Alligator mississippiensis: one gene and its partner. The protein of the gene in region 2 binds, or shares a complex with, the protein of the main gene of each other region. Links are inferred from orthologs where the notes say so. Each region holds a gene or a part of one and is shown on either strand. Other genes may lie near its edges. The genes, in order: VRK1 and PHF2.

Region 1 (16,432 bases), on a different chromosome or scaffold from region 2:
CAACTTAAATTTCTGGTTGTGAGTTCTCTCTTGCCAGGGCGGGAGGGAGAAGCTTATTGCAAAATGATAATGGAATGCTCTTATTAAATAGTAGTTACTCATTTAAAGACAGATAGAAAAACACAATATGGGTATACAACTTGCAAGAAGCTATCAAGTACTTATTTTGTCTAGATGCCATAATAACCAAAAACAGTCTTTTTCTTCTCTTCCAGCTATTTGCTATCCCAGCTGCCACTTCATAATTTCCATAGAAGTAGATTTACTGAGTGATGGAATACCACAATGGACAGTTTAGGAATAACAGATACATAAGGACGTGCTTCTGTACAAGTAGAGAACGAGATTAAACAATGTCTGGAACATGACATGGTTGGGCTTATATAAAAAAGCAACTAATAATGTGGGTAACTGTCTAACACAAGGAGAATGCCACCTTTAATAAACATTAGGAGCTTAGTCAAAACCATGCAGCAAAGCCAGGCTTCTCTAGCCACGATCAAATTTGCCAGTTCTCTTGACCAAGTCTTCTCAGAAGAACGCTGTCACCTTATATTGGTGCCCGATCATTTTACTAGCATCTTAGATCAATAAATGATTTTGTAACCCATGAACTACTATATGAAATTACAGAATTCAGTGCAATTGTATCACAAGTGGAAGGGAAACATCTTATCACATATCTAATGCACCACATAGTACAAGAGCCTTATCACTATCTTCATCTTAAAATTTTAACCATTCAACGTTCATTGGAAGAACAGAATCATAACATGGTGCCCTCAGCAGGAATCCCCAGGGTTCTGTGAGGACCTCACTTCTATGCCATCTATGCAGAATACATTTTGGAAATGGTGCTAGATATAAGAAAAAAAAATTCAAACTTTTCCCTGGAAGTTCAAGTATCATTATAAAGTGAATTTTGTGACAATACCCGCACAGAAAAATGCTCAGATATCTACAGATGGCTCAGTAAACTGATCATACAATAATCAACATGACCTATGGGCAGCAGTTCAGATGCAAGTCATCCCAGCTAAAGCAGAAAGCTCTGTTAACTGGTCAGTGGCTTGCACGAAGTGAGCTGACAATCTTAAATTTTGTATTTATGAGCTAAGTATCCTCTTAACAAAAAAATACCAGCATAAGACAGAACAAACATCAAATTACCATGGAGACTGAACTATCCATAGATAGGTCTGCTAAAGTAAGGGTTGAGACACTGGCAAGACAGCATAGTTATGTTTGAATTGCTGTGCCCATGCCATCAATCTGGCATCATCAACAACCACTAGAATTACTTCAGAAATGCTCCCTAAGAAGTAATTAAGTAAGAAAATAGAAGCCTGTCCACAAACATTTAAGTGATATTATAAAGGAACAAAATGGGTTATATATGAAGAACGTTACCAGTAAAGATTATAGCTAATCTGTCACATGAATTAGCTGAGGTTAAACCAGTGACTGGATGCCACAGTCCCCTGGTGTGTCTTGATATCCTTTTAGGGGTGATGCATACTGTAAGCTGTATAAATATGCCACACGAAAGGAATCCAGAGATTTGAAATAGCAATCCATAGTGTTAAAAACATTCAGACCTGTTGTGTTCTTTTCTGAGTTCTTTGCAACAGAAGAATTGCCGTATCATTTTATATAATCAAAAAAACAAGTGAAAACTAAAAGCTGGCATTTTCTGAAGGGCCTATCAATGGGTGCTTTGAACTTACTAAGGCAGTGGTTCCCAACCTTTTTAGACTGCGGACTGGGAAACCATAGACCAGCAAACTGCGGACCGGAAGTATAAAAAAGGGTTGGCTACTGGTCCGCAGTATGTCGGTCACTTCCAGACTTCCAATCCAGCAGCCAACCCTCCTGTGGACCGGCAGCCAACCCTTCATGACCCGGGGGTTGGGAACCTCTGTACTAAGGGCTTACTCAAATTTGAAAAGGTCAAGAACCACTGAATTAGACTAAGACTTGAGGGGTTTCCATATCACATACTCCTAACTATGCCTCAATGTCTTCTAATATTCTCATTTTACCTACACTTCTCCCTTTTGCAAGAAATAAAAATATTATGCTGCAGCTGACATACATAGCCTTCCTAAACTAGGAATTGTTGGGGTGGGGAAAGGATGAAGGGGAGGAGGCTTTAAGGACCCTCAACTTTAAAATGCTCTGTTTAGTACACACAAGCTTACCAAGATATAAACGTCCAAAGCCACCTTGCCCTATATGCATGCCTAATTTCCACTCTTTTTTTGATGTATCTGTTAACACCTCTCCTGGAGCAAATTCTTCTGCAAGCTTCCTCTTCGCAGGAGCTCTTTTTCCAGATGTCTTCTTTATATAAGGCATTTTCACTACAAAAAGTAATACAGGGTTATACACTGAGCAGATTTACTTTCACACTTTTATTCTACTCCATATGCCGGTTTTTATACTTTCTTTTCCTCATGACAGACTTCCACATAGTAACTATGAGTTGTTTAAACTGCCAAATTGTTACTACAAAAATTCTTTATGAATTTCTCAAAGTAATCCTGTCAGCATGGATTCTAGGTGAAAAAACAAGCAATTTCTTCAAGAATCAGGAAAAATGGCTCTAATGAAAGCAATTTTGTAGAAGAGATTTTTTTTTATTTGAAGGTTTTGCATAATTTGATACATGCTACAGAATTACAGCTATTCACATGATAATGCATTGTGATCCAACTATATGAAAAATATTTTACCTATATTGGTTTCCTTACAAGTAAAACTGTTGAATTCACTAATTTTTAATACAGCTTAAGTATTTAAAAAAATGGAATCTCAACTGTTCCACAAAAGAATGCACTCCCTCGTATTTCTCATTGACCATTATCTCAGCAGTTTAGTTTCTAATAACAATTTCACAAAAGATCAAATACCTGTCACCACAGTTAAAAATGTCAGAGAAGTGTTCTCTCACAATTATGTTCAACAAATATGAAAGTCCACTTATTGTTTCAGAGGATATTTAAAATAATCCAGAAACAACAGAGCTGCAATGTTCTTAGAGGATTCTGTCCATCTCTCCCCATCATCTCCAGGTACTTTTCCCCAGTCCGCAGATCCCTTTTCTGAATATCAAAATGCTTCTTTTCCCCTAAGACAGCTCTTCTGCCTTGCTAAGGCCTAAAGAACTCTCCTGGAAGGAAAGGCAAAAGATAGTTCCTACATGTGTAATTTTAGATAGTAGAGCCACATTTGAATATCCATAGAACATGTAAACCATGTCCAGCACAGATGAAAGTATGTAGTAGTCACGTTGAGGAAGGAAACAGGGGTATTTAATCTCTAAATTACTTCTAAAAAGGTTGTTAGGTATTACTGCACAAAACTATAGGATCTGAAACTGTCTAGAATTCATGAAATGCAATGATTTAACTCTAAACTGCTCTCCAAGATTCTCATAAAACAAAATTTTGTTTCAGATATAACTGGACAGCTGAGTCTCTTTACTCATCTTAAAACAGAAACAACATGTTATCCATAATTTTCAAATGATCCTTGTAAATGCTGTCTCTTAATACTTCAGTTTCTCTCTTCATTAGATTCAAATTTTCCCTCCATATTTTTAATTGTAGAAAAACAGAACTTGTGCTTTCTGCCCAAACTTAATCTCAAAAATAGCATGGCCAGTCTGAATGACAGAACGAGCTGCCCCAGGCACATAGAGCTATTGTGCTTACCTACAATTACATTCTCAACTTAAGAAAATACTTTATAGACTAATACTGGCACATTTTCTCCTGGGACAATGACAACTTCTTTGACCGCTTTCTACAAACTGGTAAAATGTATATATCATATATGATATATAACATTATATATCATATATACATATTAGCTTCATTCATGGAATATTATGGATGTATTTCATCTTGGTAATCTCATCATAATTCTGCTGCTGACAAGCCTGTTTGGAGGGGACAAAGCAGTTTATTTTGATTAGCTCCATGAGAATGACAGGTGAAGAGTGGTTCCCCTACCTCCAGTTTTACTTGTCCACCATACTCTCAGTCACATACCTAAATAGACTGTAAAGAACTGAATTTCTGATTAACATCCCCTTAAGCCACGGAAGTGAAAGCTAAGGATGGACAGTGAATATCGACACTTGGGAATCCTGCCCTTAAATAAACAAGATATTCATTCATAGTTTCTGGGATGCCCATGCTCACACCCGCTGCTAGGATGGCACCATGCCTACTCATAGGTTGGTCAACCTATCACTAGGCCACAGAAGCCAAGCAAAGATAATTTTAAATGGGCAGTGTGCAGAAAAGTAAGCATGTTGAAATGTTGCAAAATAACTGTCCTCTGTGGATGCAGTGGCTCATTTTGTATCGGAAAATGCAAGAATCCTTTATGGTACTAAAAACAGGAAGATTTGGGGATTGCATGCAGTTATACAAGAATAAGTGCAATGTAAAAAGAATGAAGAAGGTATGAAAAACATGTTAAACACAGCAGGAAGGGAAAGACCTTTTTATTTCTAGTTTTGTTATTCTATAACACTTTCTACCTAGAGACCAGCAAGTCTACCAAATAAGATGGATCATTGGCCTAAGCTCTCCACATTTAAAGCTCCTTACATGAGAACAACTACTACTCAACTTCTACTACTCAACTTGCTTATTCCTACTAACCACCAATATCTTTATATTTAAAAAATGACTGTCAGCCCATACCATCATAAAATGGTTTACAAACTTGGATGCAGAACTCATTCGCCTCCTGAAAAATACCACAGATATATTACAATACAATGCCAATAGCATTTTAGGGCAGAAAGCAAAGATGACAACAAAATGAAACTATGTTGGGAGATTTAGAAATAACTGAAGATAAATTACTTGAGCTAGAGTCACCATGATGCCAGCATTAACTGTACCTCTTGAACAACAGGTGCTCAGTTGAGGATATCAGAGCTCGCTCTCATCCAAACAATGTAATACCAGACTGCATCATAAATTTAGCACAGACTCAGCATCACCTGCTGAATTGGTCTGCACCACCTTCTGCAGCATCAGTGGTTGTGTTAGTTTATCATATCTCCCACCTCAAGGGAAAAGAGGCCTTATGGCAAAAGCACAGCATGTTGGGAAATGCAACCATTTATCTTCGTTTCATTTAAGGTTCACTTTCACCTTTCTTTGTCTCCATGATCAATAAATGGAAGTACTGCCTGTCTCAGAGGGATAGTGAGGGCTAATTCATTAGTGATTGCAAAAAGCATTGAAATCCTTGGTTATCTTAAGTACCAGAGATACTTGTCCCTCCTTAGTTATGTGACTAGACAAGAACATATTTTCAAGGTATATCATTGTAAACAGCAGCATTAATATGGCGGTGACCTGCTCTGGCCTTGAATAGCTTGAGAAGCATAGACTTTGCACCTAACAAATATGAACAAATTACAGCAGGAATCATGATTTGTTTAGTCCAGCCTTCTCAAACCCTCTTCTTTAGCGTACATGAAGAAAAGAAGTATTGAGTGTGCTATTTTGACGTATGCAGGCAATTCAGTATCAATAGTGCTATTAGTGAAGTTATCTTTATAAATGAAGCCTGGATTGGCATTCTTGCTGCTACTTTTTTGCTCTCAAAGCGAACTCCAGTAGACAATTCCCAATTGGTGTTTTCTTCCTTTCTCAATAGTCTAAAATGAATATAAATCAAATTTATTTTAAGGAGATATTTTTCCCCCGGGCGACAACTCAGGATGTTGAATTTCTCCCTGATCTGGTTCTTTTATCCTCTACAAATTGCTATTTTAGGCTTGTTTATCTCAGTTGGACTTCTTTCAGTTTTCAGCAGACAAGACCATGCTGCTGACCTGCTATCCTTTTAGTGAATAGACAGTCCCAGCAAGACCAGGAATCCACACGTCATCAATATTGTTCATAAAATCAAAGCAGAAATCTTCAAGTCTGATCGCAAACGCGCGCGTGTGCACGTTCACACACGTGCGCACACACACAAACAAAAAAGAAAAAAAGTTTCTAGAAACTTTAGACCCGTTTCTCATGTTTGGCATGACTTCCTTTTATTCCCCGCTGCCATTTCCCAAAATAGATGTAATTTTGCCCATTTTAAAGAAAGAGGTGCCAGCACAGCTACACCATCCTAGATATTTCCAGTGTCAACACAGAGTTATCACCAGGGATCCTGGGTTTCTCCAATTTAAAAAAAAAATCCTGCAATTTTAATTTTCAAAAAGTAACCCCAAGTCCACATTGTTCCATGATTTAAATGAAACACCGCTAATACGGAGACATATACATATTGTGGTGTTTCATTTTAATTACAGAAAAATGTGGATTTGGGGTTACTTTTTTTTTTTTTAAATAAAAAATTGGGGATTTTTTTTTTTTTAAACCAGGATCCCTGGTTATCACAGAGATAAACAATCTAAATTTTACAAGACACTTTTTGGCTTTCCCTCAGGCCACCTGGGATGTTGTTAATGCTGACGGTGAACCGGTTGGCAGCTGCCTCCCCCCCCGGGGCCTTGAGACATCCCCGTCCCTCGATACCTGCAACGGAGCTAAAAAGGGCGACGCCCAAATGGTGACCTACAAAATATTTTAATCGCGCCACAGAAAAAGCCTGGGCCACTTGGACACGGCCACGGCCGCTCCCTCGCGGGGAAGGGCCATTCATCGGAGCAGGCAGGCGCAGGCGGGGCGATCCCGCTCCGAGCAGGGCTTGGACTAGAGGCCCCCAGCCGGGCCGAAACCGGCTCCGCGCCTTCCACAGCCATCGAGCCCTTCCCCCATCCCCCATCCCCCGCGCGCAGCCCCCTGGCAGGCGAGGGCCAGGCCAGCCCCGCCGCCCGCCCGTCAGTCAGTCAGTCACACCACGGGCAGCCCGGCCCGTGCGCACCGCGGTACCTCCCGGCGACTCCGCCCGCGTCGTCCGAAATTCCCGCACTGCGCGCGCCCTGCGCCGCCCGCCCGCCGAGCCGCGCCCCCCCACTCCGTTGCCCTCTGCCATTGGCTGCCTCCCGCCGGCCCCCGCCTACCAGCACGCGGCGCTTCCCGCCGGCCACCGTCCGCGGCCCCAGTGCACGCTGGAAGCGGTAGTTTCCGGTCGTTCCGAAGCGCGTTGGCGCAGCGGTGAGGCTCGCTGGGGGGCCGTGTGCAAACACCCGCCGGGCTGGCGGCAGCCAATGGGAGGCGGCCTGCGGGCCTCGCTGCGCTGGGCCTCTGGAGCCCGGGTCAGTCGAGTCGCTGCGGTGGTCCGGGGCGTTTGGGCTCGGTGCGCTGCGCTCCCCACGGAATGCAGACACTGCCATAGGCAGGAGCCCGCCGCGCTCTGCGCCGGCCTCCCACTGCTCTTGCAGCAGAGGCCACGAGCCGGGCTGTGCCCGGGGACACGGCTGTGCGAGGGTTCCTGCTTTAGTGCGCTGCACGCACCGCACAGCAGAGCCTGGCACCCAGACCAGCCCCGCCCCCACCTGGCAGGCGGGCGCTCAGGAGATAGAAGGAAAAAGTAAAAGGGACTTGAGGGGAGACCCCTGCTTGGGGCCCAGGGACCTCCGCAGACTCCAGTCACGGTTGCCTGGCAGTCAAGTTTGCAGCCACCCTTTCTATGGAGAATGGAGCGAGGCCCGTGGTGCCCCACCGTCTTGGCCGGTGGGATGGATGGGCAGTGCCCGCCGTGGGTCCCAATCCAGCAGCCAGGGCGGTTGCAGAGGGGCCCCATCCAGCCATGTGGAAAGAGCTTGGCCTGGCTCTGATCCGAGCAGGGAGGGAGTGGGGCTGGCAGTATGGCTTGCTGTCTCCCCTGACACCAAATTTCCCAACTGGTTGGATACTCTGGGCCGGGGGGCAGCCCCCCCCCAGCAGGGAGCGGGGAGGTGGGTCTCAACCAGCCTGGGGTGTACGAGTTGGTTTGCCTCTGACCCACTAAAGGGATAATACGGCCCTGCCTGAGTTAGACTGTTCTCAGTGGTGGCAGATGACAGGACAAGGAGCAGTGGTCTCAAGTTGCAGCAAGGGGAGTTTAGGTTAGATATTGGGGAAAAAAACTCTCATGAGGAGAGTAGTAAAGCACTAGAAGAGGTCACCCAGAGACATTGTGGACTCTTCGTCCTTGGAGGTTTTTAAGACCCATGCTGACAAAGCCTTGGCTGGGATGATCTAGTTGAGGATGGTGCTGCTTTGAGCAGGCAATTGGATTAGATGACCTGCTGGGGTCCCTTCCAACCCTAATTTTCTATGATTTTAAATTCAACTGGTGGAATTTGCTGAGAGGACCAGCACCCTGCCAGCTGCAGCACTGAGCCCTGACTAGCTCCTGTCCAGACTTCAGGGCAAGAAGCAATACATGGTAGAGTCACAGGGCTTTGTGGGCAAGATGTGAGTGAACTTTGACTGTTCACAATATCCATAATGGCAGTTATGTCCCTCGCGCAGCCTTCATCTATACCAGGCCAAACAGCCTGCTCACTTGACATCCTACCACTAGGCTCTGTACTTGCATATGGATTAATTTCTTCAGTAACTGAAAGCAAAATAACCGAGCAACGTATATATTTTTTACTTTCTGCTGTTCTATAGTTACAGGAATTTTATATAACCCCTGTAGAAATTTAAAATAAAAAAAATCACTCTGGTAAATTTTGGGGGTTTCCTACTCAGAGAAACCTTTTCACTTAACCTTATATAAGTCTGGGTTTGTCATGTCTCCCTTTTTCAGTTCTACACAATATTCAAATCTTTATCTCAAATGATATTAAAATGGTTTACAGAATGTATACAGTTTGGTAGCTATTTTTGAGAGAGAAATACTAAAAACTAAGTTTGGATTTTCTGCCCTTTTCATAAATTGTTGCCTTTGAAGGGTCAGAACAGATTTTTCCCCTGTTGTTGGTTTTGTGTGAGTCAAATCTTTAAGTGTTGATTCACCTGTGAGCACTGATCCACTTGTCATGAGATCATTGCATTTCATTCTTTTGTTGTCAGATACAAATCAAAACACACCCACACTTGCTTCTGCCAAGCTGTGAACTTGGAAGAGATGTATAGTAGGAAGATCAGAATTCAAGGCAAGCCAAGGAGTTGGGGGAAGGGGGGAAGAAAACTACTTTGTTTTTTCAGCTCAGTAGTTCCTTAAGCAGAGGGATGTGATTTGATGGGCACTGTTTTCATGTTCTCCATTCACAGGGGGGGTGGGGTAAATGCAAAGATTAAAATAAGTTAAGAGCTATCAATACATAACATGTCCATCATGATTGTTCCCAGACATGTTTACTTTAAAAACCTAAGCTGATCCATATAATGTATTTCTGCTGCTTTTCAAGAACCTACACTATTCTGAATTGCAAAACTTATGGCCCACTTTACCTCCTCACAGAAAAGACACAGAAGAAGGTTAAAAGTGGAAGATGTTGCACACTAGTGCTTTGCCCCTGGCATCGTTCTCAAGCAGCTGATCAGGACTGGAAAAGAAATGGTGATGCAAATTATTTTCTTGAACTCAAGATGAAGCAAATGTTGCAAATCATTTCTATGAACAAGTATTTCAGTGACTACACTCTAGAGAGCTCTTACCAACATACACTAACTGGGTACCCAGGAAGGGGGATCTTAAACCTCATTTAAACAAATATAGCCAAAATAAGATAGCTCTTATTTCATTTCTTGATACTAATTCATAAGAATGGACCAATCGTAACAGTGCTAGCTTGCATGCTTAGGAGACCCAGGGTCAATTCCCTGTCTGTCACTGACATCCCATGGGACCTTGAACAAGGCAATTAGTCTCCCTCGTAGGGAACCCATAGAGGTAGTATGCTCATTGTGGGTCCCACCAGATTATTTGTTATCTGCACCCTCTAACACCATCAACACGGATATTACACAATATACACAAAAATTAATAGAATTCAACATTTTAGAGTAAAGATCCATTTAACCGGATGGTATTTGACACTGGAAAAGTAGAATTCACAATTCAGTGGGGGCTCCAGAGCAAGAGTACTAGGACTTAAGTGAAAACCTAGTCAGCTGAAGGGTACTTCCAAAAATACAAAAAGTAAATTATATTCTTCCACCTAGGAGTTTGACCTAAAATCATCACACTTCTTTTAGCATAAGAGCTGAGTAATTTCCCATTTTTCCCTGGGGCCAAAATCAGTTCTGCCTTCAAAGCAATAGCTTCTAGGTCTTAACATTATAGGCAACAAATAAGATTCTGTGAGTGGTCAGAACAATCATTTATGTCTGGTGTTTCCATACACTAATGGATATCTCTCTCTGGTTCAACCAAGCTGAAATGCTTTCCTTAAAGTTAATCAATCCATGGCTACAGTGGAAAGTGTTTCATACTTTAGCCAAATATCTGAAATAGCGACAAGTTTTATGGACCACTCCCGATACATCGTCAGTGTTACTTTTATTCTCACAAAGAAAGGAAGTACAGACCAAATGTAGTCAATATGTAAAGTTTGAGACGTATTTAACAACAGTCCTTCAGTAAAACGTTGATCACACCTTGTTTTTTAAACAGAGTTTAAAAACAATGTTAGACATTTTGGGGGGAGTTTGGTCTCTCTTCACATAGTCTTTCATTAGTTAACAAGGATTGAAAATGCTGAAAGAAAATCCCACATCCTGGAAGAAATGTACAGCCAAATGCATGTATGAGCCCATACATGTGGCCATGTAGGCCTTGCTGGGGTATGGATTAATACAACCATTGATTAGTGCATATACGAGTCACACAGAGGCCCTGCTAACAGTATGAACCAAAGTAGGCCTCATTAGAATAGAACTAGGCATACCATAAATAACTTGCATAGAAGTAACTTTGTTAGTTTTTACAGAAACTTTTCAAGGCTAGCAGAGAGTCAGAGAATTGATAAGACCATTACAGGTCACCAAAATAAAGATCAATGACCTAGACAACAGGTTTTCTTATCTGGTAGGAAGGAAACACTAATTGATGGATGGTGTTACCTAAAGATCTTTAAAAGAACAAGCACATGGATGCTGTAAACATTAAACTGTTTTGATCAGTGTATATAAAGGACCCAGGGAATCCCAAATGCTTTGTATTGGGCTTAGAGGTTGTGTCTCACCCATGCTATGACTGAAAAGAATCCAGCTAACCTAGACACAATGTTCAGTCTGGGCAATTATTTGGGCCTGAGGGCCACTTAGGGAGCTTTGGTAAGCTGTCATGAGCCAAGTCAGCACTAACCCCCCTTCCTCACCCCCCACCCCCACCCCCCTGCCTGCAACAACTCATGAAAATTCTTTATGTGGCTCTGATCCACGCTCGGCTAGGTAGCTGGAATGGGGCCGTGAGTGGGGTGGGAGCAGCATGCAGAAGTGGGACAGGTGTGTGGAGTCGGGATCATGGGGCTGTGACACCATGGGGCTGGGGCCCAGGGCAGAACCATGATCCGCTCCCTGCACACCCCTGCAACGAGCGCCAGTTCCATGTGCAGGGGCATGTGGGAACAGATCGCGGCTTTGCCCCAGGGGCGTGCAGGGAGCCCCGCACTGTCGCTGCCCCATGATCCCAGGGTCTCAACGGAGACTGGCTGGGACCTGTGCAGGCAGGGCATGCAGCCAAGCAGACAGGATGGGACCGCAGGTGGGTGGGGAGCTGTGTCTGGGAGTGGAACTGGTGGGCTGGGCTAAGTCTGGGATCTTGGGACAGTGATAGCACGAGGCCAAGGCAAAGCTGCAACCCATTCGCCACACACCCCTGCCCATGCAATCAGCGCCTGTCACAGGGAAATGCAGGCAGGATTGCAGCTCTGCCCCAGGCCCTGCCCCTGCACCTGTCAGCAACCTACAGTCCCAGCCCTGCACACCCATCCATCCTGGTCCTGGACACCACTCCCTGCCCACCCGCAGCCCCATCCCATCCCATCCGCCTTGCTGCTCACCCTGCCCGTGCAGGTCCCACCCCCAGCAGTGGGGGTGGGGTGGACAGGCCAGGATGCCCAGGTAGTGGAGCTGGGTTCAGCAGCTGTAGCCGCTGGAAGGAGTGGCTGCCACTGCGGTTGCCAGGAAGTGGGAGTCCAGCCACCACAATGCTCCAGCCCTGCTACCCAACCGGGAGCAGCAGGACCAGCCACACACACCACCAAGAGCTAGACGAAATCCCTTTGCAGGTCAGATCCATGAGCTGTACTTGCCCACCCCTGGGCTAGCACCATGCACCAGCTGGCTATGAACTGGCTGGCAATACTGGTGACTCTCCAGAGTCCTATAAACATAATTGAGAAAAAGACCAATTTAAGTATATATTTTAAATGCATACATATGTACAAGGTGGACTTAATATAGTGTTCAGCCAAAGGACTTTGAATTAGAGAATGGAACAGATGTTTGGCACCTAATAGAAACAACATTTTTATTTGCAGTGAATGCCAGAGAAGGCAGGGTTCAAATCCAGATTAGAAAATGGATTCACTGCCATTGAAATTCAGAATTAGGTTTTTTCCATGAAAAGCTGTTCTGTGGAGATCTAGCTCATCAACCAGCTACAGACTAGATCCCCAAAGCCACATGTCTAAGTTTAGATTAAAGGATTTCATCTCCCAAATACCAGTCCTTCCCCTACTCTCAAAAATTCAAAGGTGCTTGCTTGCATTTAATATGATAGATTTGGCATATCTTTAATCTTGCAATAATTAGAGTAAACTCATGCAAAAGGCATGGTTTTATAGTCCAAGAACAGGACTGAGAGCAGAAACACCAAAACACTGCCAACTTGGACAAGCTGATTAGTCTTTCTGCCTTCCTTTCCCTGCCTCTACAATGGAACAGTCTTATATTACTCACAAGAGTGTTGCAGTATTATCTACATAAAGGTAAAAGAAATACTGATATGCTGCTGTAACATGATTAAAATGGCTATGTATTTTATAGGACTATAATTGAAGCCAAAAACTTAGAGCCAAGAGCCTTGTGAGGAAACTGTAGTAGAGGTGAGTTTAAAGTAGTGAATCTAGATTTGCAAACTGAACATGGTGCCAATTCAGGGCCCTCTTGGAACATGTTACTTTGAGGCCATTAGTCTCCCAATGATGTGCAAGATGCGACCCTACATGTCGGGTATATTAATGCCAAAGCAAAATCTGGCATTTTTCTCTCCTTCCCATTTTACACAGTTTTCCTTGGTGGAGATGCACATAATACTTTTTTTATTAATTTTTAAAACTGCAATAACTATTATATAGGATGAGAGCAAAGGAGCCCTCCAGGGCCTTTTTTTTCCCTGGCCCATTAATATACACTTTATGAGTACTTAAGACAATCTGCCCAATAACCTCACGCCTCATGATGCACCCAAGGTATGCATTAACAGACCAGTATAATATCCTATTGGATCTGAGTGGTATTAAAAACTAGTTAGAAACAAAATTGTTCCTGCCACACATTTAGCGTTTTTTCACATGTCCTTTCATTAGCTGGAGCTAGCAAATTAGCCTAATTATTTCATTGGATTATATCTGAATTTAAATTTTTTTTGAAAAGCAAAGAACACCATAGGGTACTGTAGACACAGGACAAGGCACAGTTATGTAGAAATACCTAAGCTAATCCTCACCAAGTTAATTTGAGTACCAAAAGCAACATAACCACCTTAGCCCAGTTGAGGAGCTTGGCATATTAATCTGGATCAAGCTCTGCCCTAAAACAGCTGTATTTCTTCTGGCACCCAAGCTAGCTCAAGCAATCATTCTCCACACCAAGTAGATGTACCCACAGTTAACAATGATCAAAAATGGAGAAATTTACAACAATTCAATTTTTAACAACAATGCAGATTTCAGCGTCTCATCATGCCAATGCTCTTCACTAAGGAAGTAACAAAAGTTAATTTTCTGCAAGAAAAAGTTGTAGAAAATTCTTTAGCACCACCTGCTCCATCAAAGCCCTTTACAAATTTCAGCATTCCCACTAGAATAGTCAGATATTTTCCCATTTTATAGCTGAAAAGCTTAGAGATGATTTGCCCAAGATTTTAAAGAAAGACTGGTAGGGCTAGAAATAGGACCTACATTTCTTGACTCTAAATTCTATATGCTATCACAACATGAATACAATGACACACTTCATATTTAAGATGGCAATCTTATAGCTACTAAAGAATGTCTACCCAATTTTGGTTCCCATGAAAATGAAATGGCCTTTTCCAATAGATACATTGGTAGGTGGACCAACTGAGGTGTAAAGCAGGGAAAGAAAAACCTCCAGGTCTGCAGAAGGGGAACAGTATCCCTGCAGTATACTCTCCACCAATGTACACTCGTCACCAACTTCAGATGCAGAAAACTGCAAAAGACTTGCATGAGAAAGTATGTCCTGAGATCTGGCAGTAGAAGGTATACTCTTTCTGCAAAGTGACTTCCCTGCAGTAATGCATGCAAAATACAAGGCAAGTAGCAAATATTCTCCAGAACAGCAGACCGCAAGGACCAGTTGCAAGAATCAGAAAGGTTCCAGTGCTGGCCTTAATATTTGAGCAAAGACAGAATAAAGAAGCCACATACCTTTGTAGAAGGAATCCACCCTACTGAGAGGCAGAAGGGCATCTCTACTGCCTCTCCCTCCATCTAGATTTTTTTATTATACTCCTAGTGTCTGCACAGAATCTGCAAATGTAAAATGGTTCTGTGCTTCTACCAGTCATTTCTGTTCCACATTGGGCTAAAATTCTTGTTCTTGAACAGATATTGTAAGTATTGCAAGCTGAGGTGAATATTTTACATTACTGTGGACTCAGCACTTGGTACCATGGGGCTCCCGTAGTACATACCAAAACTTTTGCCTTGATGCTGGCTGCAGTTAATAGCTTAGTTTTAGGAGCTGCTTGAAAGAAAGGACTTCATAGCCAACTATTACGCATGCAAAAAACATTTTTCGAGAGAGAAATAACTAGACAAATTTAGTTAACGTAGAACGTTTTAAAGTTAAAATCCAGATTTCTTTTTGGTCTTTCCATGTGATTTTTTTTTGTGGAAGTGCACTAAATAATCAGCATAGTTGCATTATGGTGTTGAAGCAATATTTCCTAGAAAGGAATGCTAAAAACTGAGTAAAGATACAGACGAGTCAAATGTCAATTTGATAGATCTCAAAGATTCTGGGGAAAAAATATCTGCAAATCTTTCATGTATATCCCATTGGTGTGTACTTATTCTAGTATCTCTAGGAGGTCTATAGCTTGAAAAGGCCAGTTTCCAAAACTAGAACCAAACATTGCATCAATTTTCGTCACATAAGTTTAAAATATTGGTAATTCCCCCCATATGCGTACTCCAAGAGGCATAGTTCTCCCCTCACCTCTCAAACATTTGTTTTTTTGGCTGTATTCTTGACTATGTTGAAAATGTATGCAGTCTTAAGATTTTACTTCTTAAATTTGTATTGTTTTGGAAGGTTTTTGTAACTTTTTATCATTCAGTAATCTAAGTGTAAAATCTTTCTTTAGGGACTGCATTTTAAAATGGTGGGGTGGTTTATGCACCACGGTGGTGCCAGGAGCCATGGCAGGAGTTTTAATCCCTCAAAGTCACCTGAGCAGGATAGGCCAAAAGGGGATGGGTCAAACAAAGTCATCCTTTAGGCCACCACCTATTCTCATTGAATAAAGCAATAATAATAATAATAATAATAATAATAATGATATAGGAACAGAAAATCAGTACTGAGAGAAAACCTCTTCAGGTTTTAAGTAATACCTGAGAGCACAGCAAAAAATAAATTCAGATTCACAATTTAAAGTGATTTTAGAAATGGGTGAGGATTGATTGTTCATTTGACTTGCACTGGCTATGTTAAATTACAAAATATTTTAAAGAGGTGCTTAGTAAGTATAATATGGAAAGAGTGAGCATTTCATTTAAATAGCAAGTGAAATTCATCTTAAGGATTTCTTGTGGGGCTGAAGAGATCAGGTCAGATTGGCATAGTCTGAATTCAGTCAATTCTCACTCAGTAGAGAAATTCAGTGGACAGAGCATAATGGAAAGCAGAGAGCATCTAATGAACTGGTATTCCATTACCTAAAGTGATTTATACTGGTGAGACCAAAGCAATAATGTAGCTAAAAATAAATAAAGCATGAGAATAAAAAATGAGAAAGATGGGTTGGAATGACATTATTGTATCATCAAAATACTGGTGTGGAAAAGAAGCTATTGAGTCAGATGCTTTGAAAAGTTTCTCCTTTCCTGGGAGTGTGTGTGAAGCTCACAGGCAGATAATTTGAATATGTTAAAAGAAATAATTTTAACTAACTTGAGCCTTCTAAGACTGGAGTCTGTTTGAAGCCTACTAAATTAATCCAAATTAAAGGGCTTTTGTGAGTTTCTAAAGGGCTCATATGTTTATTTTGGTTGTGGTCCAATATTCATATGGGTGGAGCAGCA
Region 2 (16,038 bases):
AAGCATCATAGCCCAGCCTCTAGCGCGGATCTTTGAAAACTCTTGGCGCTCTGGTGTAGTGCCCGAAGACTGGAAGAAGGCCAACGTGGTGCCTATCTTCAAGAAAGGGAGGAAAGTGGATCCGGCTAACTATAGGCCCATCAGCCTGACTTCTATCCTGGGGAAGATCTTAGAAAAGTTTATTAAGGAGGCCATCCTTAATGGACTGGCCGACGCCAACATTTTAAGGGATAGCCAGCACGGGTTTGTTGCGGGTAGGTCTTGCTTGACCAATCTCATTTCCTTCTACGACCAGGTGACCTATCACCTGGACAAGGGAGATGAGATTGATGTCATATATCTTGACTTCAAAAAAGCCTTCGATCTGGTGTCCCATGATCGTCTCTTGGAGAAACTGGCCAATTGTCGCCTTGGGTCCCCCACGATCCACTGGCTGGAAAATTGGCTCCGGGGTCGGACCCAGAGGGTAGTAATTGATGGAAGTCACTCATCGTGGTGTCCTGTGACCAGTGGGGTCCCCCAGGGCTCTGTCCTTGGACCCATACTGTTCAACATCTTCATTAACGATGTGGACACTGGAGTCAGAAGCGGACTGGCCAAGTTCGCCGATGACACCAAACTTTGGGGCAAAGCATCCACACCAGAAGACAGGCGGATGATCCAGGCTGACCTGGACAGGCTCAGCAAGTGGGCGGATGAGAATCTGATGGTGTTCAACGCCGATAAATGCAAGGTTCTCCACCTTGGGAAAAAAAACCCGCAGCATCCTTATAGGCTCGGCAGTGCTATGTTGGTTAGCACTATGGAAGAAAGAGACTTGGGGGTCATCATTGACCACAAGATGAACATGAGCCTGCAATGCGATGCTGCGGCTAGTAAAGCGACCAAAACGCTTGCTTGCATCCATAGATGCTTCTCAAGCAAATCCCGGGACGTCATTCTCCCCCTGTACTCGGCCTTAGTGAGGCCGCAGCTGGAGTACTGCGTCCAGTTTTGGGCTCCACAATTCAAAAAGGATGTGGAGAAGCTTGAGAGAGTCCAGAGAAGAGCCACGCGCATGATCAGAGGTCAGGGAAGCAGACCCTACGATGACAGGCTGAGAGCCCTGGGGCTTTTTAGCCTGGAAAAGCGCAGGCTCAGGGGTGATCTGATGGCCACCTATAAGTTTATCAGGGGTGACCACCAGTATCTGGGGGAACGTTTGTTCCCCAGAGCGCCCCAAGGGATGACGAGGTCGAATGGTCACAAACTACTACAAGATCGTTTCAGGCTGGACATAAGGAAGAATTTCTTTACTGTCCGAGCCCCCAAGGTCTGGAACAGCCTGCCACCGGAGGTTGTTCAAGCGCCTTCATTGAACACCTTCAAGATGAAACGGGATGCTTATCTTGCTGGGATCCTATGACCCCAGCTGACGTCCTGCCCTTTGGGCGGGGGGCTGGACTCGATGATCTTCCGAGGTCCCTTCCAGCCCTAATGTCTATGAAATCTATGAAATCTATGTCCTTTGCTAGTGGGATCTGTTTGTGCCTTGACCATGCTAATTTTTCCCTACATGCTTGGGCACAGTATTCTTATACTCCTGCTTAGTAACATTAGCAAGTTTCCATTTTTTTGTAAGATTCTTTTTATAAGAAGAATTCATGGTTTAACGAAGTATGTTTTTTCCTGCACTTTCTATTTACTTCTCTATTTTGCTTCTTGATGTTTTGGGGCATGGTAATCCTGGGAACATATGGAATTTCAGCCCCAAAGCCTACAGTGCCACTCTGCCCTCAACTGCTAAAGAGCACACACCAACTGCTGCAGCTTCCTTAGCCTGACAAAGGGTTTTTGAACCCGAAAGCTTGCTTAATAACTATTCTCCAACCATTTAGGTTGGTCTAATAAAAGATATCAAATTCACCCAAGGAACCTTGTCTAGTTAAAAAAACAAATTTAGCATGACTTTCTGTGCTGTCCCTGGCCAAGAGTAAAATGTAACAAAGAAATAGAGTATCTGACATTCAGAAGGGAAAATGGGAAAAGATGGGTGGTGCCACCACCAACTCACCCCTCTCAAATTCTTTAAGCCTTGTGACCTGTTTCAAGTTTGATGCACTAGACTGCTTCCTTATTTTTTCCTAAAAGCAGAACCAGATAGAAAAAGGACAAATAAATTAATTCATCAGACTAATGTGAAAACCCACAGAATATGTCAAAAGGGGGTTATAAAAAAAATGAGGATTAATATATACACCAGAACAGGGGTAAACCCTGCATCTAGAAACTGTACTAAAAAATCAGGAAACTCCCAGGTGACAGTTTGTTCTTGTAACAGCCACCTCGGGCTGTGGTTTATCTATGCAGATTGAACCTGGGACTTCAGCTTCTAAAAATAAACCTGCTCAGGCTCAAGGATTTTGGATGGGATTTTCTGAAGTGCCCAAGTAGCCTAGGAAGGCCTAGGCAATGGGACTGTTGGTCCTACATCACTTAAATATATCTGAAAATCCCACTTAGATCCATGAGCTCAAAGACAATTGCAGGTTTATGTAACCTTTGTTTATAAACCTTTACATGTGATGTAGCTACTACAGAGGGATGCAGAGCCATACTGTGTTAGCATGTAAAACCTATTTCTAGTATACGTCTTTCTGTTAGACACCCACAGAGACTTAATTTGGCATGACTATGTTCTGTGGGTATCTGTTGCGATTTATTCTGCCGATTGTGTTTTCAATGCATATGCTTTGCTCCAGAAGTATGAAGAAGTGGTTAACACTCAGATGCACTTTATAATAATTAAGATGTCACACCTGAATGATACCACTCCTTCCACTGAGACTGACAGCAGCCAAACATTCCCTAGATATGGATTCTGGGTTTATGTACAGAACTACTAGATATCCTTTCCATCTGGCTTCTGGCTCCAGACTGAAACTTAGAGGCAGTTAATCCCTAGATAAATGATTCATGGAATGTGTATCCATTTGTGTTGTTTGTTGAAATTCCAGGCAAACATCTCTCAGGTTCTTGCATCACCTGGCTGGAACACTAAGTTCACAGTTTATCTTTGTTGTTGTTGCCAAAGTCCCTTCAGTATTAAATAGGCCTTGCTCACTAGTGGCAGAAGTGGAGATGTGTTGACAGTAGAGTCTTAGGCAGTGCTTTGGAAATGGGGTTGCTTACCCTGAGAAACAGGCGGAAGTGAAATAAAGTAAGTAAGGATAGAATTTTTCACAAATCATATGGGTCTGGCTCAAGCAACTTCCAAAGTATCTGGAAACTGGAACAAAGCATGGAACTTGACATGGTGAACGGCTCATCTGTGAATGCATGTACACAGAATGACAAATAAATATATATTTACATTAAAATAGGGGCTATTGAAATACAGGAGTGAAATCTCAAATGTACATATACTAGTCAATAAACATATGCTAGCAATATGCAAATGGGAAGCCCATGTCTGCAGTCCTATCTTATACCAAATTGCTCTGAAGTTGGTGAGTGTTTCGCCTAAATGTATCTTGCAGCATTGAGGCTCATTAACAGATAAATACAACCCCATGGAGAAGTTACTTCTCCTAAAGCCAACCATCCTCTTTCCTACTGTAGGGTACATTTACAGAATACATTTTAACTGCTGTATACATTTATAGCACCCATTTCATCCAGGTTAGAGGGTGCAGTTCAACGTCTTTGTTACTTTATGGTAGCAACTTTGAAATCTGGGGTGAGACTGAGATGAATGTGGCTCTGTCCACAGAAAATCAAGGTGATCCTGGTAGGCTGAGGAACCCTCTGCGGAATATTGAGTAGATTATATTGGCAGTTCTAACGGAAGGTGAATCCGTTCTTTGCAGAGCACTAGTAGACTAGGTGCTTTTATATCACCACTGACCAGCTCAATCTGCATTTGGTCATAAATTAATGGCCTTGTACCTTGAATGATCCGTGCCTTTTTTGCTCAAGGTTAGCCTGTTGCCCTGAGCTCTACCTGCATTTGCTTTTAATTAATTTTTTTTTTTGGAAATTGAAGCTAGTGCAGAATATGGTGATTCACTTGTTAAATAAGAGCCTTCTGCCATAAGCCATCCTGATTCCAGTTCTGTGATGTGGACTAACTGTTGGTGTACAGGGTTATTTTCAGGTGCATTTGCCTACCTGGGAAGCCTCATATCTCCCTGAGTTTTACTGATGTAGTTAAAATATGCAGAAAGATTTGAGGCGATACCAAATTATTAGAAATGAATTTGAGCTGTGTGGACTGGCTTCTTGCAGAGAGGTTGCTGGTTTGCAGAGAAAGGAGTGGTTGTATTGTTGAACTGTTTTTAAGGATGTCAGGAGTGCCTAGAATCTAGGATAATTGTTCTTTTATATTCTGAAATTAAACCCAGTAAATATAGTACAGAAAGATGTAAACTCTGCATGAATTGAATATATATCTTGGCTGTATCATGCATCATCTGTTGTGGCCTGTCATCATCTGTTGTGGCCATCATGAGATAATAGCCTCCCCTAAAGGACATACAGAGTGGAGAATACTATCATCATCACTTTTCCTTAGTTCCACATTGCTCAAATCAAAACTGAGCACTGGTGAAAAGATTAAATGGAGCAACCCCCATCATCAAACTGAACCAGCTAACTTTTTCTTTTTTATCCGAGTTCTGAAATTAGTAAAAAGGGAGTGTGAGTGCATGAGAGTAGCAGAATGTACATTCCTGGAATAAATAGAAGTGCAATGATGCATGTGGTGACTTAGTGATTTACCCCTTTGTGATAAGGTTAAGTTACAGGAGTTGTCTTTTAATTAGGTGATATTATATTATTCTATATAGATCAGATTAAATGAGAACAAAATAATATTTAATTACAATTCAAATTTAATTTTAAGATTTATTCTAAAATTGTGCCATGCCCTGGATTGCTCAATTAAGTTTTTGAAAGTGAATTGATGCAGCACTTCCTGATAGATTCTGCAAGTGGGCATCATTAGAATTGATGTGAACTGCCCTATTCATTCCACACTCTGAGGCCTAATGATTTCAGTTTAACAGTTAATCTATTTACCACCATTAACTATTTCACATGAAATTGCTTTTTTAACATAAACATCTGGTTACTTTGGCTGGTGAATGGTATTGCTTGGAAAGTATTGCCACATCTCGCACGCATGGGGCTCCTAGTTAAAGCAGTAGAACTACTGACTTGACTCCCTGCAGAGACAGACTGTTTGGCCTACTTACACATTTGGGGCTCAGCCCTTCTCCCATGAGAATCACTAGGGAAACTGCCATTGTCTTCACTGGGAGTGAGCTCAGGCCCATATATTAGAAGAGAACTGCTTCTTGTACATGATCAAATACTTATTTTTCACACACTAACTATCCTGAAATAGTCGCTGTCAGATTTAGTTATTGTGTGTTTCATCAGAAAGTAGATCTCTCACATTTTGTAAAAGCAGGTAGCAGGCTCAAGGGGAAACAAAATGGCAAAAACACCTATGGGCCATGTCCAGACGTGCAGATGTTTGGTTCCCCATGGACAAGAAGCAGTGGCACACCTTGTACCACTGCTACTTGTCCCAAGGGAACGCCCATGTTATGCACCCTTTGGCATGCATCAGGTTACCCTGGGTAGAATAGGGGAGGCTGGGGCCAGCAACTGTGCCTAGGATCTTGGGGGCTGGGGAAGCGGCAGCCATGGCACTCCTACAGCTTGGAGCCTGGCTGACAGCCAGAGCATGGCTCCAGCAGGCCAGGCTCCAGTTTTGAGCACCACATGCTGCAGTCAAGTGTACCACCCTGCTTCTTTTCTGCCCGGTTTTTTTTGACCCCAGGATCTCCCAGGGTCAACCCCCCCCCCCGCTTTCCTGCTTCTTGAGGTTCAAGGTAGCAGCGCAGGAAATGCATGAATGTATGGTGTATTGCCTGTGGATGATCCTTTGACTCCAATGGGAAGATGGACATGCCAACCTTAGCAGTCCCTTGCAAACACACACCACGAGCATCAAGGCGATGATCATCTGACATCAACTTTGCTGGGCTAGCCATATCATCTGGATGTCTGACTCCAAACTCCTGCAGCAAGTTTTATTCTCCCAGCTTAGTCAAGGCATATGACCAACTGGAGAGCAGAGAAAGCACTTCAAGGATGTCCTCCAGGCCAACTTGAAAAAATGCAACATTGACATCAACTTGTGGGGGGCTGTTTCCCAGGATCACCCCAAATGGAGGAAGTATCTGCTGCACGGATCTTAGTACTTTGAAACCTCATGACAACAGCAGGAGACAGAAAAGCGGGACCAGCAGAAACAGTATTGAGGACTGAATCAAGAATACGGAGCCACCTGTTGCACAAGAAAATACATTCCTGAATTCAAGAGAACCTGTTGTTCCTGGATTGACCTTGTCAGCCATCTTCAGACCCACAGATAAGGCAATCATAGAAGGCAATCATCCTCAACTGTGAAGGTTGTTGATGATGATATTTTGCTAAAGCCATTAGGATTAAGGACATTTTTATCTTTCTTTACTAAGATTTGTTCAAGGATAATCCATACTACCTGTCAGTGGAAGGATTCCCTACTTTACATTTTGGCAAGATGTTGAAATGTTTTCCTGGATCTTTTATTTCCACTGCTTTATCTCCTAGACTTGGTCTCCCATATTTCTGGCTGGGGCACTTTAAGCTTTTCTCCTTTTAAGTTTTTAAAGTGCCAATAATTTTTTGTAGTACCCTTGAGTTATCCTACAGGGGGCTTGAATTTTAGGAGAGAGATAATTGGCAGGATGTGAAAAATCAGTCCCCTAAATTTGAGTAACTCAAATTCACCAAGTGCTTGTCAAAATGTAGGCCTATATTAGTCCCCTTGGTAGACTACAACCTTACTAATCTCAGTCTGTAGTGTGTATGGAATGTATAAAGTAAAAGTCATTGTGAAATAGGATTTCTGCTTGTAAGTATTATTTAAAAGGTCAGCTATATCAAATGAAACAAGACAAGTGGATGGCTGGCCATTACAGAGACGTTCATCTCTAATTCTGGTTCAAGTGTAGACCAACATGGTAGTGACTGAAAGTCATTGCTATTGTATGACAGTTTAGCGACCTATATAAAAGAAGTTGGCAGTCTCGCTGTAATCCCTGTGGACAGGTCCCACCAGTAGGAACAACAGTCTTTTTGGTACCTCTACAGAGAGGCCTAAAGCTAGATTTCACTGTACACCTGAATTTCCCTTACATCCCTAAAGGTCATTCTGTACACGTTTTGTACTCCTAAGTGACACCTAGCAAAACATGCCTAGTATCTTACAGCTTTGATTTGGCATTTCCTATGGCACAGTGCATTCACTTCCATTTCTTCAGACCTACTCACTCCATATCTAATGTGTAACATAAGATAGACTTGCTTTGGGAGCTTTAAAGCAAATAATCTATTAAAAGATTCATCAAATAAGAAAATACCTTTTTATATGCTTAAAATATATATATATTAATGCATCTAATGCCCATGTTGCTTAGATCAGTGCTTCTCAAAGTGGTGGTCCGCAGACTGGTGCTGGTCCGCAAGCCACTGGTCCTCGGTCCGCAGAGAATTGCCAGGAAAGAAAGAAATACATTCGCTGGTCTGCAGCGAGTTGCCAGGAAAGAAAGAGAGATATTTTCAGAAGCATAACATTGATATGTCATAGCGCCACAGTTCGTACGTTCCAACACTCCAGGTGACATCACGTCGTGTGAGGTGAGGAAAGAAAGAAACAGCCGGTTGCGCATTTGTGTAGCGCTGTTGCGCACAGTTGTTGCCACCGGCTGAACTGGGCACTGATCCCTGGCCCACTGGAAAAAAAATTGCTGGTCCACCACATCAGATAGTTTGAGAAGCACTGGCTCAGAGCACCCTAATTCTTTACAGCAGCGCCGTGCCTAGACTCCTGGCAGACCTGGGTGAACTTTTAGTATCGGCCCCCCTTTGCCAGCAGTAATGATAATAATAATTTTTAAATTACCATTTTGGGACCCCCTGTTTGTCCAGGCCCATGGCAACCACCCAGTTTGCCCAGGCCTGTGTCCGGCCCTGCTTTAAACCTTTAGTTTATGTTCTTACTGTGTTACTTTAGAGTTTAGCCATCTTTCACAACTATAGAGTTGATTGTTAAGATCTAAACACAAACCTTATTTTATGTTACATTTAAAATGATATGTTTGTGTGTATGCTTATATACATACAGTCACCTATAATTATGATATATTTATATGCGTACCCACATGCGCACACATTTTTGCTTCACTATGAATATATATTCTATTAGAAATCGGTGCTCTTGACCACGCTGGAAAATATTTTTGTAGCTCTGAACAAACGTTGATGACAATTTGGATAAATTAAGCCTGACTTGAGCGGTAAATTACAGCGAACAAGTGACAGGTGATGGTTTAAAAAAAAAAAAGTTTGATCCAGCAACCAGCTCGGGCGTAGGGGCCAGGGTTTGTTGGGAATAACAACACTGCTTTGGGTGTCACATCCGGTTCAAACAGAAACCGACCAGAGGAGACACGTTTTATTGTCGTGTTAGCGAGTAAGCTCGCGGAACAACAAGCAATGCGGAGTGAAAGGAAGCACCCGCGTATCACGACTGAAAGCTTGATTCCCCTTACCCTGCCTGTCAGTTCCGGGCACAGTGAAAAGCGGACCAAAGCCCCCCCGTGCGGGGAGGGGGCAGCACGGGCGCGGGCGAGACCCGAGCCGCCTCGAAAGTTTGCGTCTCCGCGGAGGCGTGCGCCGCCCCGCCGCAGGGCCATTTCCCCGGGAAATATGGACCGGGCCGTGCGGGCCCCTCCCGCTTCCCTCCGCAGGGCGCAGCTCCAGAAACGAGGGCTTTAAAAAAAAGGAAAAAAAAAAAAAAAGGAAAAGAAAAGAAAAGAAACCCCCGTCCCTAAAGCGGTGCGTTTCCCCCATCCGGCCCTTCGCGTCTTTTCCGGAGCCTCCCGCCGTGGGGCTTTGTCAGCCCAGCGCCCTGCCGAGCCCCCGCGCCGGGAGCCGTTAACGGGGACATCCATTTTAAAGCCGCTCTTGCAAAATCTGCGCTGCCGCCGCCGTGGCGGGGCGGGGGAGCCCCCGGGCCCGGAGCTGCTCCCCGCGCCGCTGTTTTAAATCTCCCTCCTCCGCCCCGTGCCGGCTCCCCGCCGCGCCCAGCCCCGCTCCGCTCCGCTCCGCTCCCCACCGCGCGCCCGGGACTCGCTCCGGCTTCGCCTGCCTCTCCGCAGCCCCCCCGGCCCCGGCAGAGGAAATATTACCATGTTGCGAGCTGACGTAAGGACATTACAAGGAAAAGGCTACATTTCGGAGTGTTTATGAAAAGCCTCGGTACTGTACTGTCACCAGGGGGCATGCAATATCATGCGTGCCGCCAAACATTTGGAATAATAATCATTTCACAACAACAACCACCCCCAAAAGAGAGCCCCGGGCCGGCCGGGGCTAGCGGAGGAGCCATGCAGCCAAACTTTGGGAAGCCCTTTCCGATTTTTCTGACATTGCTACCGCTCGCCCTTGAGGAGCCGTAATTGCATTATCTGATCCCCCCCTTCTCTCTGTCTCCCCCCCCCTTCTCCCCTCCCCCGACTCTCCGCGTTGCAAATTTGCTGGCGTTTGGGAAGGAGAAGCCGGCAGCTACCGAGCGGCAGGAGCCGCCGCGAGGCCAGCTCGCCTGCCTGGGAGCCCGGCGTTGTTTTGAAGGGAGCTAACATGGCGACGGTGCCCGTCTATTGCATCTGTCGGCTGCCTTACGACGTAACCCGCTTCATGATTGAATGCGATGCCTGCAAGGACTGGTTTCACGGCAGGTAACACAAAGCGATCGGGCCCTTTTCGCCCCCGCGCCCCCCCGCCCCGTTTCGCCGCGGTCCCCCCGCTCGCTCGGCGCCTTTCGCTGCGTTTCTCTCCAGGGCAGAGCGAGATGGTGGGGCTGGAGCCGCTGCTCCGTGCAGTTTTCCAACAGGCCTTTTTGGAGAGGAGGAGGAGGAGCCACGGCCGCCCGCTCCTCGCCGCTCTCCTTATTTCTCTTTTTCTCCCTTTCTTTTTTTGTGCGCGGCGTTTTGTTTTGTTTTGACAATGTGGCCCCTGCCCCCCGCCCCGACCGCGGCCCCGCGGCGCCGGGCTCGGGTGTCCCCGGGGGGCTATTGTCCTCGGCGGGGCGGGGACGGGGCCGGGGCGCGGTGTCCGGGGCCGGAGAGGCGGCGGCGGGGGCTCCGCAGCCTGTCACCGAGCTGACACCCGGGCCGGTGTCTCGGCTCGCGCTGGCCGCCCCGGCCTGGCCTGGCCTGCGCCGAGCTGGGTGTTTCCCGGCTGACAGGCGCCGAGCGGGGCCGGGCCCGGCAGGGCCATGGCGGGGATCCGGGCTGCGGGCGCCTCGGGGGCGCGGAGCCCGCGCGGGGAAGGGGGAGACCCCGCCGGGGCACTGCGGGCCGGGCTTGTCCCCCCGCGGAGACACCCCCGGCGCGGCGCGGCGCGGCGCGGCGCGGCACGGCACGGCTCGGCGCGGCGGGAGCCCGCCCAGCCTGAGCGCGCTGTAATGGTGGGCGAGGGCGCCGCCGCCGACTCGCCCTTGCACGCACACACACACACACACACACACACGCACACACACTCCAGCCGACTCGCCCTTGCACACACGCACACGCTCCCTCCCTTCCTCCCCGGATGGTTCCCCGCGCTTTCGGGCCGGCCGAGGCGGGCGAGTGCTCCCAGCCGGACCCCAGCGCGCGGCCGGGCCAGCCCAGCCCAGCCCAGCCCAGCCCAGCCCGCAGGCCCGGTTGGCGGCGCGGCCGCTGCCGAGCCCAGCTCCCCAGTACAATGGCTCGCTCCTTTGTCGCGGCGCCGTGTGGCAGCGCGGTCTGTGGCCGCCTCGCCGGCAGCCCCTGCTGTCACCGCGCGGCGCCGGGCTCGCCCGGCCGGAGCCTTTCGGGGGCTCGGGGCCGTTCAGGTGGGAAGAGGCCGAGGCCACACCTGGGCGGCTGGGGCGGGGGAGAGGTGTTGCGGGGGGAGGTCAGCTGGAGCAGACAAAGGGAGGGACTTCTCCTTTTGGCTCCTGCCTCACTAACCCAGTGGTACAGAAAGTGAATGTGGCTGTGCTTTTCCTGTGTCCGCCCTGAACTTGAAGGACAAGGGATTTTTTCTTTGAGAAACAAGGAAGTTAGTTAAAAAACAGTGTGAAGAGAAAGTAGGTTAAGGCAGCAAATAGAGTAACATTCATAGAGTTACCTTGAAGGTTTCTTTAACGTAAACTTGTTAGGGGCCTAGGTTTGCGTGCACCAGTTCAACATACCTCCAAGGCCAGGGAAGCATCTAGTAGTCAAGGGGCCAGTGGCTCGTTAGTTATCAGAACTTTAGTATTTCAAAAAACATTGACTCAAAATATGCTTGTTAAGAGAAAGTGTCTTTGGTAGGTGATAATCAAATCACAAGGAAATCTAAGAAAGGAACAGACCAATGATACACTTACAGGTTTATCCACAATAGTCTATAGAGCCTTCAAGTGTGTCAGTATTGCTACTAGACCACCAGGGTGTAAAGGCAAACATCAAAGAGGAAAAGGAAATGGCAAAGAAGTTTTCTTTGCTTTTGTCCTCATGAAAGAGCATGATGGAGAATTACCTACTTCACAGTGATTTACCTACTTCGTAAGTTGTAAAGGTTAGGCACTGTGAGAGAGAGAAGTATCAAAAAGAAGTGAAATTAAGATCCATTCAATCACCAGGACTAGATGTTATTCATCTGTTAGTTCTAGATGAATTAAAGAACAGAGTTGAGTGACTTATTATAGGTTCATAGGGACATAGGGCTGGACCAGACCTCACAAGATCATCTAGTCCAACCCCCTGCTAAGGCAGGATCATCCCAGCCAAGTGTCTGTCCAGCCTGCTCTTGAAAATTTCCAAGGATAGAGATTCCACAGCCTCTCTCAGGAGCCTGTTCCAGTGCTTGACCACCCTCACAGTCAGAAAGGTCCTCCTCATGTCCAGCCTAAATTCCCCCTGCACAAGCTTGGTCTTAGTCCTGTCCCCTACAGCCACATCTCCATCCGCTCTGTAATTTTCCTTCAGGTATTTGAAGACTGTTATCAAATCCCACCCCTCAGTCTTCATTTCTCCAGACTAAATAACCCTAACTCTTTCAGCCTTTTTTGCAAGTCATGTTTTCCAGGCCTCTAATAATTTTTGTTGCTCTCTGATGGACTCTTTCCAAGTTGTCCACATCCTTCTGAAATGTGGGGACCAAACAGTACTCCAGGTGAGGCCTTGCCAATGTTGAGTAGAGTGGAAGAATAACTTCCTTCAATTTACAAGTGACACTCCTGTTAATGCAACCAACACTACTGTTGGCCTTTTTTGCAACAAGAGCACACTGTTGGGTCATATTCAGCTTATGGTCTTCTGTAAAATCCAGTACTGCAGCCTAGCAGGTCATTCCCCAGACTGTATTTGTGTAAGAGAGACTCACACAGGTGTAAAATCTCAAGAAATTCCACTGACTTCAGTGCAGATGCTTTGGATTTATGTTGGTGTGACAGAGAAGGATTTGGTGCTAAATACCAAGTCTGGAGGTTCTTATGCACTTGTTACTCCATCTTTACTTAGGCAAACTTTGACTGAAATCAGTAAGGAGTTTTTATCAGTAAATACAGTAAAAAATAATTAATGACCTCAGGAGTGGGCCCTAAACATGCACAATTTATCATTAAAAGCAGGTACCAAAGACTTGAAGAACAATTAATGTTGCACCTATACAATGGTACTAAATTAATCTTGCAAATAAAAAGCATACTTCAGTATCAGGAAAAACAGTAGGAAAACCATTTAAAGATTGTTATTAAACTCTATATGACTGCTGCCTGATTAGTGTCCTATAAAGGTGTACTGTATGTTCTGTAAGGCTCTACTGTGAATGGTTTAGAAGAATTCTCACAAAATAGTAGATAAAAGGGATAAGTATGAGCAGGCTAAATGTCTGTTTTTGCTGTCACTGAAGTTCATGGGACCAGACCAGTCCTGAAGTGGAATAATAGAGACTGAGTGGAGATTGTTTATAAGAATTAAAAGGTTTTCAGTAAACTTCCTCACAAGAGGCTGTTTTAGAAACTTGCTGAGAGATGAGAGGTAAAGACTTTAAAAAGTGTTCCAGCAATATGAAGTAAGGCATGTCAATGAATGGCCAGTTCTTGGATTGAAAAACGTTAACGGCAGGGTGTTCTAAGAAAATGCAGTAGGCAAATGCCTAGACTGTTGCATCTATTTATTAAAGATTTGTAAGAGGCATGAGATGGAGATGAAACATATTTAGACAAAACTAAGGAGAATTTAGAGGCACTCAAGGAGCACCTGAAAAACAAGGTTATAAGACAGCATGATGGTAAATTAACAAAAGTGTAAGCTAAGCACACAAGAAAGGACTAGTTACTTTGCCTGTGTTGATGTGTTTTGAAGGCTATGATTCCCTAGGAAATGATATTTGCTCTTCTGTGGAGAGCTCAGGGAAGATATCTGGTCAAATAAGGAGTCCTTGGTTACATTAGAAAGTGATAGAATTTAATAGTAGGTCTATAACAACATCATATAAACTGATTCCATGTCCTAACCTTGAAAACTGTTTTCAGATGTAATGGTCTTAAATAGAAATAGCCTCAAAAGGAAAGGTTCAAAGGTGGTCTGTAAAATAACATGGGGCTGGGAGAAGGATGGGTCTTCTTTAAAAGGAGAGAATAAAAAGACTGTATTTATGCCAGAGGAGAGGAGTATCAGGAATGACAGAACAGAAGAGAGATGGCTTTTCAGAAGTTTCTTGTTGCATTTTTTTATAACCAATAAGTATACAAAAAAATCTATCAAGGCATTCTCATTTCTAAAAGGGAAAGTCTAACTGATTTCTTTAATTCCACAATATCTATTCTGTTGCTGCAGAGATGAGTCAGATAATTTCCTGATTTCTCTAGAAGTCATTACTCCAGAAGTTTTGAAAAACTTTTTGGCTGTCATTTATTGCCATGTCTCAAACTTTCCAATTACAGGAAAGGTTGCATTTCAGTAGGATTCCTTTTATTTCCCATTTTGGTTTTAGGGCAGAGTATAGTAAAGTGACTGCGTTAATACTGTTGGTTGGTAAGCTCCTGATGATGGGTAAAAGTAGTCCATGTTGATTTTGTTAGATGTATGGCTTTGATAACATTGTCAACATTACGTTGCAGATATGTCGGTAGGTTCTGAAAATGGTAGGTGGAATTTTTATTCATTACTTCCATTGTTTCCTTTTGGAGAGATTTCAGAGAGCTGTGTTGGGTAGGTAGGCATTTGCTGTGAGCTCTCTCATATCTGGTTCCATATTTGGATCTTGTGGAAGGCCCTTTGTTTATCAAATGTTCTGAGATATGTGTTGATAGAACCCATATCTAGCAACTTCTTGGAGATGCGGGTTACCAATATGCAGGTGGATTCTCATTAGCTTGTGCCTGAATACTGTAATTTTCTTTGCTCTTCCAGAACAAACTTGTGGAAACAGTCCAGAAATGATAGAGGAGATACCTGTTGGCTATGGAAAACAATGCTCTCAGCTCATAAGGGTTTTGACTGGTCTTTTTATTAATGGAGGATATATGTCCTTTGCCTAAGAGATTCTCTCTCTTGGAATTATTTTCAGTTCTCAAGTGTTTGTGCTTTCCTTGTTAGTAGTGGTAGCTCATGTTGTTTTCTTGCCTGTGGTTAATTAAGCAGTTATAACCTTTCTTTAATATGTCACAGTCACCTCCACATCTCAGTACAAGGGTTGTGGTAGACTCTCCATCACTGGCAATTTTTACTTCAATAATGGACGTTTTCCCAAAAGTTCGTAACAAGACTTACATCAGAGACATCTCGTTGGCATTTGTTACACAGGCTAGTTGATCAGCATGATATGTTCTGATCTTAAACTGTGAATTTATTATAATATGCTCTGTCTGCAGTGATCACTGACAGTCACTTGGAACCTTAAGATACTGGAGAATGTGGTGGTGGATCAACTTGGTGGAGAGGGTGTAGGCAGAACACCGAACACCTGTGCTTTGTGAACTCTGTGCAGGCGCCCCAGCGGCTTCCAGGGTCGACGACAGGTGTTGGTTCTAGTATCTGGAGCTATTCATAATTTGGAACATGTCTACCTTAGGGAAAGTCTTTTTTCCTGCGCTGTTTTGCTGCAGCTGGGATCAGTTAAGGTACTTTTACTGACAAGTTTTAACTACAGATTTCTAAGTTGTGGAAGGAGGCGTAATCACTGGAAAGCATCCAGCTATTAAACTTGCTTATTGGTATTACAATACTTCTAGAGTCATTGCAAAGTCAGTCATGATATCAAGACTCCTTTGAATCAGTTTGTTATTAATAAAAGTAGTATATACATTTATTCTCTCTTTTTTTCTCTGTCTCTATAATATGTAGTACATGTGTATAGACTGATTCTGGGAGCTGGCCGCACTTTAACAAGGACATGGTAAAGCTTGAGAGTCCAGAGAAGGGCCACTTATATGATCAGAGTCTTACATAGCAAGCCATATGAGGAAAGGCTGAGGGACCTGGGACTCTAGCCTGAAAAAGAGAAGGCTGAGGGGGACTTGGTAGTGGCTTACCGCTACATAAGGGCTCGGTGAACAACTGTTCACTAGGGCACCCTTGGAGAAAACTAGGAGTAATGGTCACAAACTCCTTGAAGACTGTTTCAGGCTCAACATTAGGAAAAAACTTCTTCACAACTAGGGTGTCCAGACTGTGGAATGAGCTCCCTCCAGAGATGGTACAATCACCTACCCTGGAAATCTCCAAGAGGAGACTGGACAGTCACCTTGCTGGCATCACTTGACCCCAGCTGTCTTTCCTGCCTGGTGCAGGGGACTGGACCTGATGATGTTCTGAGGTTTCTTCCAGCCCCTTACAATCTATGAATCTATATACAGAAAATAGATTTTCATATGTTACTCTCATCCAGATTTATTTTCTAGGGAAACAGTTGCTAAAGGAAAATGTG

Evidence for each region.
Region 1: the proteins of PHF2 (region 2) and VRK1 are in contact, whole or in part, in a crystal structure (PDB 8F8Y), measured with the Homo sapiens proteins. The link is inferred for Alligator mississippiensis from reciprocal best matches to the Homo sapiens genes PHF2 and VRK1. Residues at the interface, in NP_005383.3 of Homo sapiens: Tyr7, Tyr14, Val16, Thr17, Arg18, Phe19, Met20, Ile21, Glu22, Trp29, Glu39, Ala42, Ile45, Asp46, Tyr48, Lys64, Tyr145, Ser147, Glu150, Lys175, Val178, Asp179, Tyr182, Ser183, Thr184; in NP_003375.1 of Homo sapiens: Pro2, Arg3, Val4, Lys5, Ala6, Ala7, Gln8.

The regions. Positions count from the first base shown.
Region 1 is NC_081825.1:279,888,006-279,904,437, reverse strand, and holds the start of VRK1 (serine/threonine-protein kinase VRK1), read right to left. Parts: upstream 7,014-16,432; 5' UTR 6,924-7,013; exon of another isoform or gene 6,916-6,923; intron 4,765-6,915; exon of another isoform or gene 4,719-4,764; intron 2,364-4,718; 5' UTR 2,359-2,363; coding exon 2,202-2,358; intron 1-2,201. UniProt on the Homo sapiens protein: Serine/threonine kinase involved in the regulation of key cellular processes including the cell cycle, nuclear condensation, transcription regulation, and DNA damage response.
Region 2 is NC_081835.1:26,667,560-26,683,597, forward strand, and holds the start of PHF2 (lysine-specific demethylase PHF2), read left to right. Parts: upstream 1-8,887; 5' UTR 8,888-9,735; coding exon 9,736-9,833; intron 9,834-16,038. UniProt on the Homo sapiens protein: Lysine demethylase that demethylates both histones and non-histone proteins. Enzymatically inactive by itself, and becomes active following phosphorylation by PKA: forms a complex with ARID5B and mediates demethylation of methylated ARID5B.